Linked DNA regions of Rhinolophus ferrumequinum. The protein of the gene in region 1 purifies or fractionates together with the protein of each later gene. This does not show direct contact. Links are inferred from orthologs where the notes say so. Each region holds a gene or a part of one and is shown on either strand. Other genes may lie near its edges. The genes, in order: PIM1 and EDC3.

Region 1 (9,287 bases):
GATTCATGCTAAATTCTAATCCTCCATCCTTCCCTGACTTCTTCAGCCTCCTCTGAACGCTGTCCTTGTGGATGATACCCTCAGTTAAAACTTAATCGTCGAATACCTTGTTAAATCCCTTACACTCATCTTGTGTTCCTTGGAAAAGAATGGCATGGTAGATAGGAGGTAGCGCTGCCACTTACGTAGCCTGGGGCAAATTACTTCTGTTTCTCTTTATTTATCTGTAAATCAGTGAGGATAGTAAAACTGCCCATGTCATAGAATTTATATGAGGACCCATATAAAGTGCTTAGGAAAATGCCTAGCACATTTTTGATGCTCAGTCAATGTTGGGTGCTATCAGTGTGTCTCTTTTGCCCCTTTCACTTAATCATTTTCAGCACTTAGCCAGTATGTTCAATGAAATGATGGTTTGTACCCTCAATACATTTATGATTTAGTTGTAGAAACTAAACAAATATGGAAAAGTAAGACTGTATACTATTAAATGCCAAACGAGATACACAATAAACAAATGTTTTCATTAGTATCTTTTTAGTGCCTAGAAACGTACCACAAAATCTTTTTGAGCAATTTCCCCCCCCCCGCCCCTTTCACCTAGATGCACTTTGTGGCTTTTCGAATCTATAGAAGCAATTTTATTTTTACTTTTTAAAAGATGGCAGATGATATCCTTTCTATTTCTTTCTTTCTCTCAGGGTTTTTGTTCATGTGCCTGGTCTTTTTGATCTGAGGCATACATTTTCCTAGTCTTCTAATAAGATATTTTATAACAGTTTCCAGGTTTCCTGTAGGCTTTATACATCCTAAACCACTCCTTTTTGTTTTTACCTATCCACTAATATTCAGGAGCTATAAAATCTTTGTGTACAGTGCCTTCAATAAATATTGATTATTTTTGATTATTTTTACTCAAATTATCAGTACTGAATGTGTAAAATTCCAAAAAAAATTTAGGTTATTTTATTTCTTTAAAAAAATGAATTGGAAATGAATTTAAATATACTTTACTGGATAAAACACTCTCTTTCTCCAACCTTGCTGAGGAAACTGAAAGCTGATTAAAAGAGATTTATAAACTTGAAACAAATGTCACATGTTATCAAGGACAAGAACCAGTTCTAACTTGACTGCACAGATTCCCTGACCATTCTGAAGTTGACACTCTGAATTTCCTAGCTGTCCATCACTACCACAATTGCTACAACTTAAAAAGGAGGCATTAGTCTTTTTAGAGTTAGACTGTTTCACGTCTTACAGTCTGTAGTGAATTTTCACATATATTCCATGTTCCACATATATGGAATATATGTGAAATTTAAATTTTTCCAAATAATCTTAAACTGTTGAAGTAATTGGAAATATTTTAAGGTATAGAAACAAGTGTATTGCAATTGGCATTCTCCAAATTTCCCCTTTTTTTCAGCAAACGAAAGAATACAAAAAATAATGGTGATTTTTTTTTTAAAGAGGGCGCAGCTCACAGTGGCCCATGTAGGGACCGAACTGGAAACCCTGGTATCATCAGCACCACGCTCCAAACAACTGAGCCAACTGGCAACCCCAGTGGTGAATTTTTAAAAATTAAACTTAAAAAATTTACTAATTCTTTTTTTTTTTGTCGGAGAGAAATTAGAGCTGCAGACCCAAATTATTTCTACCCGCTTAATTGCAAATAGCTTACACAGACTTACACAGAAAAAACTATACAGCAGGCCCTTCAATAAGGTTGTTTCCTTCAATGCCGTTTTGTTATAATGTTGATGTGATATCGTAAAAAACTTATCTCTTAAACTTAACTCTTGTTTATGTCAATTAACCTATGGTAAAATTGCTTTCATTATGCAGTCCTTTCGCTGCAATTCCCTGAATCTGTCCATGATGTTAAGCGAGGACTTAAAGTACAGACCTAATTAATGTAAATGTATCAACTAGACTCAGAGGTACTTTAAAAAACAATGTACAGGCACCCCATTCAAACTTATTCTAAACTTCTGTGATTACAGAAATTGCTGAAGTCATTCCTTTGACAATGGCTTGATTAAATCCATAACAGGTAGAATATGGAAACCATCTAAGGATTAATTTGGCTATTGTTCAAGTTAACAATAACATTCTCCCCTTTCCAGAGAATTGTTAGCATAATCATGGCCTTTATCTTACCAAAAGCACTTGTCATTTAATAATTAGCATGATTTTTCTGAGTCTTTGAGACAGCACAGGTAGTGATTGTTTTATTATTTAAAATATATTTTGGTGAATCAAAACATCAAGTTCCCTGCCCTCAAAAAATAACTTTTAATGCAAAACATACTTGAAGGTTTAATAATTATCTTTAAAAGTGGTTTTAAGTCAATAAAAGCTCTTTTCCAAACAAGGTCCATGTTTTGCAACTTCCAGCTGTGAAGCACCCACCATATAAAGCAGGCATATTAAATGTTAATCACTTTAGCTCTAACTAATTAAATATTTAGGCCTACAAAGATCTAGAGAAAGTGAAAAAGGTTGAACTTGATTTAATGTAGACAATTATTTTGAATTATATTCTCTCCAGAGATGATTAAAAATCAAACCATTTATCCTGAATTTTACATTTGGAACCTCCAAAGTGCAAGACTATTCCAAAATTCTTCCGTTTTATCATCGTCATAATCAGAATCAGCATTATTGCCATATAGCTAATATTTATAAGTTCACTCTGTGCTATTATATGAGCATAATTTTGCTTTACATGCAGAATTTTGCTTCTTATAACAGCTCTATGAAGTAGGTGCTATTATTATCTCCATTTAGTCTAAAGCTGAGAAAGGTTAAGTATCCTGACGAATATCACATAACCAGTAGGTGCCAGATCCCAGATTTGAAAGCAAGCTAAATTAGTCTTCTAATCTTTATTTTATTTTGTCTAAGCATGCTTAATTCACTTATATTTAGTATAATTTAAATTGGACTTTAATTTGACTTTAATCATGACCTTTTTGTTGGGACCCATTTTGGTCTTCCCCTTCATCACCAAACGTTGGATTAAGTATACGTTCAAGGAATAGGGAGACAACATATAAATAATTGAAAAGTTCATTAACACAAAGATTAAAAAACCGCCAAATACATGATTGTCAGGTGAGTGGAGTGGACAGTGAACGAATATTGGAGTTTAGCAACCTGGGTGGAACTACCATTGTATCCTGGTGGCTGTAAAAGCTTTAAATAAAAGAGAGGCCATTCTCAAGACAGGTTGACTGCTTCTGTAAAGGCAGAAAGTCTGGAAAGTGCTAAGTGAGTGGGAACAGGTGGGAAGAGTCCACCAGGGCTTGAGAAAAGAAAGAGCAGAAGAGATGGAAATGGGGTTCACATACATTTATACTTGATGTCTTAATACCAAGGACAGTTTTAGATCCTGATAAGAGGAAATGTTTGACTACTCTGGAGTTGAATTTGGGTCATCTCATCTCTTCCTCCTTTAGCTGTTGTATGACCCTGTGTCATTCTACTTATGTTTTATTTTCCTATCTGTAAAAAGGGAATAATTCTTGTTTCCTTGGGTCCTAGTCCTCAAAAATGAATGAGTTAGGTCGCAGTACACAAACAAAGGGAAAATATGTAATATTTTATAAGATAAAAAGAGTTGTGAAATACCTGGGCATTTTTATAAAATAAGCACGGTAGAAAACTTTTAATGAAACATTTAAATTCATTAATGATTTGTAGGTACACAGATCCTTCAACCGCCTATTTTTTAAGTGGCAAGAACTTGAAAAAAAATTAAAGTAAGATGTAGTTGGCTTTCACTGACAATTCAATTTATGGATTACATAGAATTTTAATTTACTCATTTCACACGTCGTTATCAATTCTACATAGAGTTAAAGGACAAAGGATGAAAAGTCGAATTGGTCAGTTTTCCGTGTTATTTCCAGGGGGGACAGGGAGAAAGATTTCCTTTGAGACAAGGCTGGGGCAGCCAACAATTTCTAGCATTGCCTGACTGGTAACAACAGGCTGATGAAAAGGTGAATAAATATAACGTGAAACTGATTAAATAAAGCGCACCCTCCCACCCTCGTTTTAGATGAGGAATTTTCCTCTCTCCCGCCCTCACGCAAAGGGCTGAGACAGCATCTGGCATCACAATACTAACATTTGTTTCGTGATTTCCTCTTTACGGGGTACTCAGACACACATCACTTCTTAGGAATCGGGATTCCTTTCTGCATTTTTAAAATAAAAATCTGCTTGAGAATCTGGGGGCTGATTCTTCTTTTTACTGGCCGTGACATTCGCGATCTGGACCCCTCCTCCGAACAAGCGGAGTTCTCCCCCAGTTTTATTCCAGGCCTGTGCCACCTCCACTCCCTCCGTGAAACGCCGTGACTCACATCTTGCGGATCCTTCGCCCCCCACGCGCCCCCAACACACCAACCCCCGAGGACCCAACTCGAGCCCACAGTGTGTCGTCAACCCGCCCAAGCCGACTTGGAGGTCTCGGGTCTGAGTCACACAGAAAGACCACCCTCGTCGGCATCCCCCCACACACACAGTCCCTCACACCCTGACGCGCCGGCCGCCGGGCCTCCCCGCCTGACACGCCAACGCCCGTCGTCTCTGCGTAACTTGTTATGCTCCAGCTCGAGCCCTTGACCCAAAAACCTCCGAGAAACGGAGAGCCGCAGAGCCGGCCTCTGGCGGCCTTTGAAGGCTTTGTTATTGTTTGGGTTTGAATCGATACGCCCCTCCCCATCCTTCCTCCCTCGCGGCTCGACACCCAGCTCCCGCCTCCCCTCACACCCCGCGCCCCTCCCCCTCCATTTTGGCGCCTTTTCCTTCCCGCCACGTCGTGGCGGCGTAAGATCATTCTGACCGCGAGAGCTGGGCGGGGCGTGGGCGGGGCACGCCGTGTTATGCAGATCAGTCGGCTTCTGGTTGGCTGGAGATGCGCCGGCGGGGGCGGGGCCGGGGCGCGGCGACCGAGCGCGCGGGGGGGGGCCCCGGGGGAGTCTCCGGGTCCCGCCGCTTCCCCACCCCCTCTCCTCCCTCTGCAGGGCCAGCAGCCCGGCTCCCCGCCTAGGCCTCCCAGAGAGGCCCCGCCTCATCCCCGCCCGCCCGCGCGCCCCCCCGCCGGCGCGCTCCGCCCCTTTACTCCTGGCGGCTGGGCGAGCCGGGTGTCTGCTGCAGCGGCCGCGGTGGCGGAGGAGGCCCGAGAGGACTTGGCGGCAGCGGCGGCGGGACCAGCACCAGCAGCAGCAGCAGCAGCAGCAGCTACAAGCCCCCTGTGCCGCGGCCCTGCCACACGAGTCCCACGAGCCTCCTACCCCGTCGCTCTTAGAGCTGCCTGACCTCGCCGGCCAGTCGGCCAGCCGCCAGCCCCGGCAGCGCCCCCAGTTGTCCTCCGGCTCGCCCTCGGCCTTCCGCGCCAGCCGCAGCCACAGCCGCAACGCCACCCGCAGCCCCAGCCAGAGCCGTAGGCACAGCCACCGGCACAGCCCCAGCCCCAGCTCCTGCCGCAGCTCCTCCAGACACAGCCCCTACGCCGACACCCTGGAGGTTGGGATGCTCTTGTCCAAAATCAACTCGCTTGCCCACCTGCGCGCCGCGCCCTGCAACGACCTGCACGCCACCAAGCTGGCGCCCGGTGAGCGTCCCCCCCAACCCGGGGATGGTGGAAGGCTGAGCCCCCAGGGTGGGAGCTGGGGGCTCGCGGGCCGGCACTAAGTCCTCTGTGTCTCCCCCTTTATTAGGCAAGGAGAAGGAGCCCCTGGAGTCGCAGTACCAGGTGGGCCCGCTACTGGGCAGCGGCGGCTTCGGCTCGGTCTACTCAGGCATCCGTGTCGCCGACAACTTGCCGGTGAGTGGGCGCCCCGCTGTGGGGAGGGCGTTCTGTTGGGGGCGCACCGGTGTGTTTTGGCCCCGGCGAGGGGGATCTAACGGATACTCTCCTGGGGTGATTTCCAGGTGGCTATCAAGCACGTGGAGAAGGACCGGATTTCCGACTGGGGAGAGCTGGTGAGTGCCCAGGAGGGAGCGACCCCCAGTGTGGGTGGGTTGAGGGGCGCCCCCCGACTCCCGCCCTAATGCAGCTCCCTCATCCCCGCAGCCCAATGGCACCCGCGTGCCCATGGAAGTGGTCCTGCTGAAGAAGGTGAGCTCAGGCTTCTCCGGCGTCATTAGGCTCCTGGACTGGTTCGAGAGGCCCGACAGTTTCGTCCTGATCCTGGAGAGGCCGGAACCGGTGCAAGACCTCTTCGACTTTATCACGGAAAGGGGGGCCCTGCAGGAGGAGCTGGCCCGCAGCTTCTTCTGGCAGGTGCTGGAGGCCGTGCGGCACTGCCACAACTGCGGGGTGCTCCACCGCGACATCAAGGACGAGAACATCCTCATCGACCTCAATCGCGGCGAGCTCAAGCTCATCGACTTCGGGTCGGGGGCGCTGCTCAAGGACACCGTCTACACGGACTTTGACGGTGAGCCAAGGCTGGGAGGGAGCTGCCCAGGTGACACGGCCTGGCCTGGAGGCCCCGGCCAGCTTCCCTCTCCGGCCCTTTGTAAAGGTCATTGGGCCGCCTGGCTCCAGGCTAGCAGGGGTGGGGCGAAGAGAGCTTCCCCGCGTAGTAAACCCGGGTATTTCAAGCCAGCTGAACCCGTAGTGTTTCTGGCATGATTTTATATTTTAAGTGGAATTCAGTGGGTTCCAAGCTTTCCCGATGAATAAGAGGTTGTGGGCAACCGGCCGTAGCCCAGATTTCTGAAGTCTGACCCAGTTTCCCCGCCAGTAAAAGGACGGGAGGGGGAAGAGGGAGGAGAGAGCGGGAGAGATGAAAATTGATGCCTGTTTTGTGATTTTTTAAGAGAGTTTTCTGTAAGGTAGTTTATAGAGCTGCAGTTTTTTTCACTCCTTTGATCTAGGGACGGATAAGAAATAGAAACAGTTTCACTAAATAATTCATTTTGTTGAATTTGTGTGTGTGTTGTGCGGTGAGGGAGTCGAGAATGAATGTTGTGAAATAAGATCTCTTGCTGGTTTGAAAATTAGTTGGGTGTCTCCGCAGAGAGGATGAAAACCTATCCTAGGGAGGGGCTTGGAGCGGGTTCTTTCAGAAAAGATGGAATGGAGAGCCTGACATCAAAGCAAAGTAGGGCGGGTCATCATCTGAGCGGCTTAACCTAACAAACGACAGCCTTTCAAAACTTGTGACTGGGGCTTGTGGTTTGTGTTTATTTGCCCTTGGAGGACGCTGGGTTGGGCTGCATTTTTTTGTATTTAACAGTTAATGGCTGGCCGGGTCCTCCCATGATTTTTTCCTTTGAGTCTTTGCTGCCCTCTGGTGAGCACCAGAGGGATGGCCTCCCCTTTTTTTTTTACAACCCAAAGTTTGTAAACAGGAATCACGTGGTCTGAAACCAGCTCTGCAGCTCTGTCTACCTTTCCAGTGTGGGGAGGAAAGGGTGTGGGTGTCTTCCCCCTGCACTCAGAGGGCGGGAGGAAGGCCTCCCAAAGGGCACCCTGACTTAGGGTATTGTGCAACTGTCCCCACCTAGATCATTGATGAGAATCCCACCCCAGCTCCTGGGCAACCTTTAATGCAGTTTAAGGATAGTCTGTGGAATACCTCCCTTGATTGTTCAGACATTCACGTCTTCATCCCATTGTGGGTGGTCCTGCCACATACAGGCCTCAGGCTTTGGGTCTGTGGCCACCCATGTTTGTTTCTTGGAGCAGTTTGTAAAAAATTTCGGTTTATGGTCTGGGCCTGGTAGAGAGGTGGGTAATGCTTTGGGTTGGAGAGATGCCATAGGCCGCTTATCCACTCCTTTGAGCCTAGGAGGGAAAATGGAGTTCACCCAGCTCCTGAGAGAAGGGAGGCGATGCTTTTTGAGTTACTCAGCTTACTACTCAGTTGCTTTGTGTCCTATTTTCTCTAAAAGCTTGTTTTCCTTCCTATTCCCCCGCCTCAGGGACCCGAGTGTATAGTCCTCCAGAGTGGATCCGCTACCATCGCTACCATGGCAGGTCTGCGGCTGTCTGGTCTCTGGGGATCCTGCTGTACGATATGGTCTGTGGAGATATTCCTTTTGAGCATGATGAGGAGATCATCAGGGGCCAAGTCTTCTTCAGGCAGAGGGTCTCTTCAGGTAACTTCTGGGAAGCCCCTGGTTGAGAAAGCAGGAATCACAAGGTGGTTAGTCCTTTGAGGACAGTCTTTGAATTTTGGAGAGCTTGCCTCCAGGAGATGCCAGCCAACCTTTGGCTTAGCAGAATCCTCGGCCAGTGATTCACCCTGGAGAGCTGGCCCCCAGCAATCTAATGGTTAGCATTTGAGCATTCCTTGGGAGGTCACTGGAAGAGCAAGTAGGAGAGTGTTAAGAAAAAAAGACCATCTAGTTTTTTGATGAAAGGTTCTTTAAAGTACCAACAGAGCCATCCTGGTGCCTCACAGCCCCTGGCTGTTTTGCCAGGGAGGGAAACGTTGAGGGCTCCTTGAGCCTTCTTTCTCCCTTAAGGCAGGCTCTAAATATTGCGGTTCCAGTGACCTCATTGTGGGTGGTGTTCGTATTTGTAAGTTGGTAGGTGAATTGAATCACCTCATCATGCTCACTGATGTCTCATCAAAATCCCTTGTCATCATCTTTCCTATTTCTGGTGAGTGGGCGTCGTGGGAAAGGCCCCAGCTATTGAAGTTTGAAAACCACAGGTTTAAGAGGGGAGCTGGTTTTTTTTTTTTCAGCTGAAAGCAGACTCCAGATGTTAATACCTTCTCATTAAAGAATATGAGTTCTAGAAAGTATGCGGTCTCTGGACCCCAGACTTGTGGGCCCCTGGGAAGCAAATTGGGAAGAGCTTTGCATTACACAAACAAGTTGAATCACTCATAACCTCTGTCTTGTTTTCTGCAGAGTGTCAGCATCTCATTAGATGGTGCTTGGCCTTGAGACCATCAGATCGGCCATCCTTCGAAGAAATCCAGAATCATCCGTGGATGCAAGATGTCCTCCTGCCCCAGGAAACCGCTGAGATCCATCTCCACAGCCTGTCGCCAGGGCCCAGCAAATAACAGCTTTTCCAGTAGGTCCTCCCCTCCTGTCAGATGTTCGGGGGAGGCAGGGGAAGCTTCTGTTTCCAGCTTCCCGAGTACCAGTGACACTTCTCGCCAAGCAGGACAGTGCTTGATACAGGAACAACATTTACAACTCATTCCAGACCCCAGGCCCCTGGAGGGTGCCTCCCGACAGGGGAAGAGACTCTACTCTCGGTGTCCTAGGCCTCAACTCCTCGTAGATGCGCTCTCCTC
Region 2 (9,639 bases), on another chromosome or scaffold:
CCAAAATTACCAAGAAGGAATAGAAAATGGGGATAGACCTGTATCAAGTAAAGAAATTGAATTAGTAAATTAAAGAAACACCACAAAGAAAAGCCCAGGTCCAGCGGAGTTCATTGGTAAATTCTATCAAACATATAGAAAGAAATAATTAACAATCCTACACAAACTCTTTCAGAAAATATAAAAGGAAGATTTCCCAACTCATGAGGGTAGTACAGTTGACCCTTGAACAATGCAGAAGTTTGGGGAACCAACTCCTATGGAGTCAAAAATCCGAGTGTAACTTTTCACTCCCAAAAAGCTTAACACTGTTCCTTGGTATCCACAGGGAATTGATCCAAGACATGGCCACACCCACGCAGACACCAAAATCCACGGATGCTCAAGTCCCTTATATAAAATGGCATGAAACAATGCACACAGTAGACCCTCCACATCCATGAATTCCCAACCGCGAATTGAAAATACTGTTTGTGATCTACTGTTGGTTGAATCCGTGGATGCGAATCCCAGAGATAGAGAGAGCCGACTGTATATTGAGAAAAATCTGCATATACGTAGACCCAAACAGTTCAAACCCATAGTGTTCAAGGGTCAACTGTGTTACTCTGATACTAAGGCCACACAGTCTAAGAAAAGAAAACCTCAGCTCACTATCCCTCATGAACACAGACACAAAAATTCTTAACAAAATATTAGCAAATTGAATTCAGCAACATATAAAAAGTATTATACATCATGACTAAATGGGGTTCATTACAGAAACAAAAGATTGGCTTAATATGTGAAAATCAAGTAATGTAATACACATTTATACATATCTTAGAGGGGTTATTTTTATATAAGAAAGGCTATTTGTATATTTTTAAAACATAAAATTGCTATTATATTTAGATAACTTTGTATTTATTTTTAAAAAGTCAATATTCACAATGTCAGAAATTACACCCTAAACTTTTAAAAATTAAATGTTTAATCTATTTAAATTTACGAAAAATTTCAGATGCCAACTTAAAAGTGTGTAAGAGATACATAAATTTCCCAATGTTTTGGACACTCTCAAGCAAAAATGTGTTAAGACTACACTGACCCCAAATATGCCTGAAATGACAAGGGGAAAAAGAATTACTCATGCCAAAGGAATGCCACCGTATCTTCAGACAGCCAATAATAAATTCTTTTTAAAACTGACAAATTCCAACTCCTTTTCACTACTACCCCCAAATTAATTTACTCTTACAGAGTACCCAGACCTAAACCTAATATTCCAGGTGTGAGCCAACCAGTTCCGGGGTCAAGTGATGTACCTCCCTCATTCTAGACCTTCCGTTCCCTTAATGCAACTAGCGACTGCAGGCCCCACCAGTTCTCCCAGTCTAACCACACCCCTGAATCAGATGACTGAGACTCCACTTCTTTTTATTACGTGAGCCCCTCCTAAGTCCCATCTCTACATTAACTGGTATAACTGAATTTTTTGGATCCAAGGGAATTCCTCACGTTTATATAACCCTTCCATTTCATTAAATTGCACTGGGAAAATCTTGAGATTAACCAGATGATACTTTCTCTCTTCACTTCATTAAGGCAACATATTTGATAGCACACCTTCCAGATAAGACTTCAAAAACATACTGTATATAAACAAAGTGACAGAGTCTCAACTCAGATCAACAGAATCCCAGCTATAAGTGGGATCAAACTGCTCAGACACAGATACTCAAAGTTATGACTCCATCTAATTTTAACACAATCTGGCAAATTCCTCCATCTAATTCACGGGGCCATCATAAAAGACTTAACAAATGCCTTGTTAAAACAGACACACTATCACTATGCATACTACATTCCTTTGGGCCACCATTTGCATGTCCTGCCCTGTTGTTCTGGCTGAATTTATAACTTGAGTAACTGCTACTCTGGCTGAGAAGAACAGAAAAATGACACATTTTCCACTGTGCATTAACTGCAGAATCTTAGAAATGAATCACAAGGATTTAAACATTTTCTAGTCCAGTGTTTTTCAAATTACAGGCCCATTTCAGGCCCATTAGTAGTCAATGTAAGTGAGTTGCAATCAACTTTTTTTCTTTCAATGAAATGGTGTCAGAGGGCCTCATATGTAGAAAGGCTAAACTTTTGTGGTGTGTGTGTGTATACACTGTGCATACAGGGGGCATACTGAGTCATGATGTAGTTAGTATGTACCTAACTGGGTCATAATTTAAAAGTTTTTTGTTTTTTAATTTTTTTTTAACAGGACTTTATTGGGGAACAGTATGTATTTCCAGGACTTTATTGGGGAACAGTGTTTTTCCCAGGACCCATCAGCTCCAAGTCAAGTTGTTGTCCTTTCAATTTTAGTTGTGGAGGACGCGGCTCAGCTCCAACTATAGTCACCAGTGTTCAATCTTAGTTACAGAGGGCACAGCCCACCATCCCTTGTGGGACTCCAACCCGCAACCTTGTGGTTGAGAGCTCGCGCTCCAACCGAGTCACCCATCCACCCCTCAAAAAACTTTGAGAGAAACTTTGCTAGTTCCGCAGCCCTACTCCCACAAGGAAGCGCCATCAAAAAATTCTTAGTAATCAAAAAGTTACATTATTTATAACCATCTTCACTTCATACAAAGAAACCAACAAACAGGAATTTTGTGCTCAGTACACCTATCTGCTATTCATTTAAAAAAAAAAAAAAGACTAGAATCCATCTGAGGTTTCCAGTTGATATAGGGACTTGCTCAGAGACAGTCACTTAGGCTTTGATGGGATGAAAACCAGTATCGACAGACAGCAGAATGAAATTACCTTAGTCTGAGGCCAGGAAAGAAAAGAAAAACTATTCTGGGTCTCCAGTTCCTCATGTTAACACGGAAGAGGATCCTAGCTCCAGAATTGGGAGATTTATTGAAAACCAACTGGCCAAGGAGGCAAGAACTATGCCTCCCACACACCAAAACACGTTCACCACGTCAACAAGTCAATTATTGATCAAGTCAATCAATCTCACACACAGAGTACTGATGAGCAGCTCAGACTTATACCACCACCAAGAAAGAATCAAGAGGCCGACCCCAGGATTCAGCAGAAGCTGGGCCCTGGCAGGTGTCATAAATTTCTCCGCCACCCTTCCCTTTCAGACCCCAGTTCACCTGGGTCCTCAAGCTTTCAGTCATGGATGTGGCACTCGCACTCTTCCCTGCCACCCTACCCTACTGTGGAAAGGGAGATGAGGCACGGAGCAACGAGTGGCCGCGCCGCAGCAGCCATCAACAAGGCCAAAGCAAGAGCCTAGGCCGCTACTGCCTCCCACCTCAGCCAACTCCCAGACTGTCCGGACACCCGCGGTCCTCTGCTCCCACCTCGAACCACACACCCCCCGGCAGCCCCGAGTTCCTGGCCCGCTGCGTGCCCGAGGTGGCCCCACCTCGTGCCCGCCTCCATAAAGGTCTCCGAGGCCTGGAACCCCGAAACCTAAAAGCAAACTCGCCTGGCAACCCCGGAAGCCCCCTCTCACGAGCGCCCACAAACCAGCCGCCGCCCCTCGCTCCCACCTCCACGCCGTCGGGCCCGTGTATCCTCGGCACACCAAGCCGAGCCGACCAGCCGCGCCACGGAACCCGGAGACGGAGGGGCCACTCCACGCCCACCCCCACAGCCGGGGCCGCCACTGCCGCCGGAAGCGCCCCGCGTCTCCACGCCGCCGTCGTGAGGTCACTTCCGGCGCGACGCCTTGGAAACCTCAGGGTGCGGCTTTGGGGGGCGGGGCGCCCGGGAAATTTGAGAGCTTGAGAGCCAGACCTGCGGCCTCCCGGAACCGCGCCGGGGCGGCCGTTTTGCATGTCCTTTCTACTTATAGCGGCTGGACTCCTGGTTAGAATCGGTGTCCCGCCGCCCTCCCCGGCCCAGATGCCGGGGGACTCCGTTCTTTCTTGCATTCTTGAGGACAAGCTTCGGCTTTCCCTCCCCGCTTTGCGCCAATCTCCGAGCAAGAGCGGAAGACTGGGGGGAGTGGGGCTGGCCACCCCGTCCTTAATCAGTGGCAGCTGTGGGATGCTATAAGTAGGCTCTCCGGACGGATTATAGGAAACAAGAAATTCCCTTCGTGGCTGATCTTCAGTTTATCAGCTTATGTTCATTTGGGGGTTGTCAGCCAGTCTATGCTTGACCACCCCCGTCACCCGCCCCCAAGTACTTTGTACACGCGCAAGTGCCACTCTTCCCGTGGCATTTTAGTTTTGGAAGTCTTGATTTTGAAAAAAACAGGCGTTTAGGGCTACGACTGAGTGTAATGAGGAATGTTAGAGTTTAAAGTTTACGAGGTCATCTTGAAGCCTGACAGCTAGTTTGGGAACCACTGGTTGGACAGGGAGTAAAGAGTAGGGCAGCGATCCAAACCTGACTTTTCAAAATCAGTTGATGAACTTTATAAAATTTCCACTTTCCAGGGACTCCCCTCCTGTCCCTCATCACCAGAGATTCCAGTAAAGGAAGAGGTGCAGAGATAGCCAAGGAAATGTGGGTAAGCTGGCCCATCCAGGGAAATATTATACAAGTACCGTGTTTTCCTGAAAAAAAGGTCCAGTTAAGATCGTCAGCCAGATGGACACATTTAGTATGTTATGACGACATTCCAGAGGAAGATGACATGACTGTATTTGAATAAATGTAGATTGTTGTACGTGAAAAAATAAGACATCCCCTGAAAATACGCCCTCATGCATCTTTTGGAGCAAAAACTAATATAAGATCCAGTCTTATTTTCGGGGAAATACGGTATAAGACCTGGTCTTGTTTTCAGGGAAACACAGTAGTTCAACTGGATGGAGCATATATGTAAAAAGAGGAAGTGATGATAGATTGACGTACAATGATAAGCAGGAGCCATATCCAAAGGGCTTTCTATGCCCCAAGGAGCTTGGTTTTATCCTGAAGACAACGTAAAACAAAGACGTTTAAGCAAGAAACTATGGTGGGAGTGAGACCAATTGACAAATGATGACAATCCAAACTAAGGTATTACAAGTTGGGTTACAAGGTGTAAAGGTGTTGAGGAGATAGGATCAACTCCCAGGTGTATGGCTAAGGCAAAAGATTGTTTGGTGGTGCTACTTACTCAGATATGGAATTGACAAGAATGAGGAGGATGTGGGCAGGCAGTAATAGAGGAGGAAAAGGAAGTAGATGATAAATTCAGGTCTGCATATATTGAGCTTAAGGTACCTGTGGGAGCAGTTAAAAATCCTAAGACTTGGAAAACTGGGGGCCTTGCCCTAGATCCCACACTTTAGATGGCCCCCACTCTGGTTCTCAAGCCAAGCCTTTCTCTGTGGGGCTAAGGAGACATGATTACCTAGAGCTCACACTCCCACTTTCAGACCTGCTCCATTTCTCATTCCTGGGATTCCCAAATGTCCTCCCAAATGACCTGAGTCCACTTTCAGCCCGTAGCCAAGTCTCTTCCCCAGGTTTGTCCTCCTGAGGGTGAACTCACTGCCATGGTGTGAGACTCCTAGGCCCAAGGGGTGGCCAAAAACATGGCTGTTTGGGAACAGTGTGAATGGGGCTTGGATATTTAGGCTGGGATGTTCACAATGTGGACCTGAGAAGCCCCTCACAGTATGGGATGGAATAGGGGTGGGAAGAAATGGGGAACAGGTCAGGGATCTCGTGTGTGCTCTTGCCCTGGCCATGCTCATGTTAGGGAGTCTGCTAACTAGATGCTCATGTTAGGGCCTCTAGTGGGAAATGGATCATGGGGGTGTGGCGCTGAGGAGAGAGATGAGATTTAGAAGTCATCAACAACCAGGCAGTAATTAAAGTCCCAGTAATGGGCGCTGTGGTCCAGGAATAACACACCACATGAGAAGGGCCAAAGGCCAAGGACAGAACTTGGTGGAACACCAGCATTTAAGGGATACACACAGGAAGAGAATGATTCAAAGGAAATTGAGAAGCAGTAGCTAGGAAAACAAGAAAACCCAGCAGTTGAGGATGCCAAAGAGACCCAGGAAAAAGACTTTTAAGAGAGTCGTCAACAGTGCTGACTACTGTGAAGACGAGGAAGTCTGAAAATGTCCATTAGACTTAGCAACCAGGAGGTGCCTGGTGATTCTGACAGGGGTTCGAGCGTGGAGTGAAGGGGCCAGAAATCAAATTTCTGTGGGTTGAGGAGTGAATGCAAGGTGAGCAAATGGAAGCAGTGAGTGTAGAGAACTTCAAGAGGTTTGACTGTGAAGGTGAGAAGTGAGCTATGACAATAGCTATGGAGGCAAGAAGAAGGTGACAGAATTTGCTACTCACCAAGTTCTTCTGAAGTCTTCCCAAACTCCTCAGTTAGAGAATTCCACCAGGAACTGCTGGTTATAGACAGTTGTTTGAGCTGGATGGACCCTTCCCGGCCCTACAGTCAAGTTTCTGGGGACCACTGTAGATAAGGGGGCACCCACTTGCCTCTCCTGATGTATGGAGACTTGCTTCTGCTTTCATGTGCTGCAGTCCTCACTACCAGTAACAGTCGCCAACAGGGACGTCAACCATTGGAGAATTAAATAAATTCTTAGGTTGAGAATAGCACAGCACTAATCCACAGTCCTTGACTTGCTGGCACGTCGTGGAGTTCTAGAATGGCAGAGCTGGAAGGAACCTTAGAAATGGCCTGCTTCACCCCCATTAATATAAGTGGGGGTTTAGCAAGTTAATGGTGGATCCAATACTGGGATTTGGGTCTCCATTACTTACACATAGAGGAACATATGTCCTGGTTTGCCTGAAACATTCCCAGTTCTTCCCATTACCCTGTCATAAGGATCAATATCACCCCCTTTACTCTCAAATATGTTCTGGTTTAGACAAATTCTAAGTCACCCCACTTATCTAGTATAGGTTTGGGGGCTAAGCAAGCCCCAAATTACTAATTACTTAAGATTATTTTTGCTTTATGTGATCTAAAAGGTTTAAGTGTCTTAAACTCTTACATGTCATTTTGTAAGTGAGGTAATGTACATGAAAGCAGGTCCTGGACTATAAAATGCTAAACAGAGATTAGAATTAAAAAGAATAACTTTGGATTGAGCAAGCATTTCTTAAATATAACACCAAAAGTACAGGCAACAAAAGAAAAGATAAACAAATTAGACTTCATCAAAATTAAAAAGTTCAGTGCTTCAAAGAACATATCAAGAAAGCAAAAAGACAACTTAAAGAATGGGAGAAAATATTTGCAAATCATATCTGATAAGGGTCTAGTATCCAGAATAAAGAACACACACGCCTCAACAACAAAAAGATAAACAACTCCATTTAAAATGGGCAAATGACTTGATAGGCATTTTTCCAAAAAAGATATACAAATGACCAACAATGAAGAGGTACTCAACATCACTAATCATTAGGGAAATGCAAGTCAAAACCTCAATGAGGTACCACTTAAGACCCACAAGGATGGCTATAATTAAAAATAAAAATTAAAAAATGTAAGTGTTGGTGAAGATGTGGAGAAATTAGAATCCTTATGCATTGCTGGTGGGAATGTAAAATGGTGCAGCTACTGTGGAAAACAATGTGGCAGTACCTCAAAAAGTTAAACATAGGGGCCGGCCCGGTGGCTCAGGTGGTTAGAGCTCCGTGCTCCTAACTTCGAAGGCTGCCGGTTCGATTCCCACATGGGCCAGTGGGCTCTCAACCACAAGGATGCCAGTTCAACTCCTCGAGTCCCGCAAGGGATGGTGGGCAGCGTCCCCTGCAACTAAGATTGAACACGGCACCTTGAACTGAGCTGCCGCTGAGCTCCTGGATGGCTCAGTTGGTTGGAGCGAGGGCTCTCAACCACAAGGTTGCCGGTTCGACTCCGGCAAGGGATGGTGGGCTGTGCCCCCTGCAACTAGCAACGGCAACGGCAACTGGACCTGGAGCTGCACCCTCCACAACTAAGAGTGAAAGGACAACAACTTGAAGCTGAACGGCACCCTACACAACTAAGATTGAAAGGACAACAATTTGACTTGGAAAAAAAAGTCCTGGAAGTACACACTGTTCCCCAATAAAGTCCTGTTCCCCTTTCCCAATAAAGTCTTTTTTAAAAAAAAGTTAAACATAGAATTCCCATATGACCCAACAATTTCACTTCTAGGTGTATGCCCAAGAAAATTAAAAACATATGTTTAAACAAAATTTTGTGCAAGAATGTTCACAGCAGCACTATTCACAATAGCTAAAGGTGGAAACAACCTAAATGTCTAACAAAAGAATGGATAAACATGGAGACAAAAAGTAGGAGGTTACTGGGGCTCAGGGTGGAGGAGGAAATGGGAAGTGACTACTTAAAATGGGTATGGGATCTCTATAGATATTTCTATTCTAGACATTTCATGTAAATGGAATCAAACAATATTTGGTCTTTTGTGACTGGCTTCTTTCACTTAGCATGTTTTCAAGATTCATTCATGTTACATGTTGAAGCATGTAACAGTACTTCATTCCTTTTTTATATAATGGCTCTATAATATGCCATTGTATGGATACATCGCATTTTGTATACACATTCATGTACAAGTTTTTATCTGAACAACTGTATTCAATTCTCTTGGGCATATATCTAGAAGTAGATACACCAAATCACTTGGTAATTCTGTGCTTAACATTTTCAGGTACCACCAAACTGTTTTCCACAGTGGATGAACCAATTTATTAATATATTACTGCCAGCAATACAGGAAGGTTTTTTCCAATTTTTCCATATCCTTGCCAACATTTATTCCCCATTCTTTTTCTGTAGTCATTCTAATGGATGTGAGTAGTGGTATCTCAATCTGGTTTTGACTTGTATTTCTCTAATGACTAATAATGTTGAACATCTTTTCATGTACTTACTGCCCATTTGTATATCTTCTTTGGAAAAATGTCTGTTGAAGTCCTTTACCAAGTTTTGAACTGAGTTGTCTTTTTGTTGTTGAGTTGGGGTTTCTTTTCTGGGGTGAAAATGTTCTAGAATTAGATCAGGGGTGTCCAAACTGCGGCCCGCGGGCCAACTGCAGCCCATGATCCATTGTTAATTGGCCCGCAGCAAATTCCAAAAATATATTCAGTTTACTTAAATAAACCAGGTGAGGCAATACGTACTTCACCTCGAGTGAGTGGCCCGGCTGTTTGTGTGTTTTACCGCATATGGCCCTTGGTGAAAAACGGTGAAAACAGTTGGGCACCCCTGAATTAGATAGTGATAATTGCACAACATTGTGAATATACTAAAAATTACTGAATTGTACACTTTAAAATGGTTAAAAGGATAAATTTGATGTTATCTGAATTTTATATCAAAAACTTCTTAAAAAGAATAATATACATAATGCACAATGAATACCCAGTTCCTTTTTTTTAAAAAAAAGCTCTCTTGGGGTTGGCCCGGTGGCTCAGGCGGTAAGAGCTCTATGCACCTAGCTCCGGAGGCTGCCGGTTCGATTCCCACATGGGCCAGTGGGCTCTCAACCACAAGGTTGCCAGTTCAATTCCTCGAGTCCCGCAAGGGATGGTGGGTTCCACCTCCTGCAACTAAGATTGAACATGGCACCTTGAGTTGAGCTGCCTCCCGGATGGCTCAGTTGATTGGAGCGCGTCCTCTCAACCACAAGGTTGCCGGTA

The links.
Region 2: the proteins of PIM1 (region 1) and EDC3 purify together in Homo sapiens (affinity purification with mass spectrometry; 3 studies listed by BioGRID and IntAct, counting the BioPlex papers as one, with this or other methods). This does not show direct contact. The link is inferred for Rhinolophus ferrumequinum from reciprocal best matches to the Homo sapiens genes PIM1 and EDC3.

The regions. Positions count from the first base shown.
Region 1 is NC_046286.1:6,943,230-6,952,516, forward strand, and holds the start of PIM1 (serine/threonine-protein kinase pim-1), read left to right. Parts: upstream 1-5,098; 5' UTR 5,099-5,550; coding exon 5,551-5,632; intron 5,633-5,738; coding exon 5,739-5,845; intron 5,846-5,952; coding exon 5,953-6,003; intron 6,004-6,094; coding exon 6,095-6,461; intron 6,462-7,953; coding exon 7,954-8,130; intron 8,131-8,892; coding exon 8,893-9,050; 3' UTR 9,051-9,287. UniProt on the Homo sapiens protein: Proto-oncogene with serine/threonine kinase activity involved in cell survival and cell proliferation and thus providing a selective advantage in tumorigenesis.
Region 2 is NC_046289.1:99,281,063-99,290,701, forward strand, and holds the start of EDC3 (enhancer of mRNA-decapping protein 3), read right to left. Parts: upstream 3,694-9,639; 5' UTR 3,555-3,693; intron 1-3,554. UniProt on the Homo sapiens protein: Binds single-stranded RNA. Involved in the process of mRNA degradation and in the positive regulation of mRNA decapping. May play a role in spermiogenesis and oogenesis.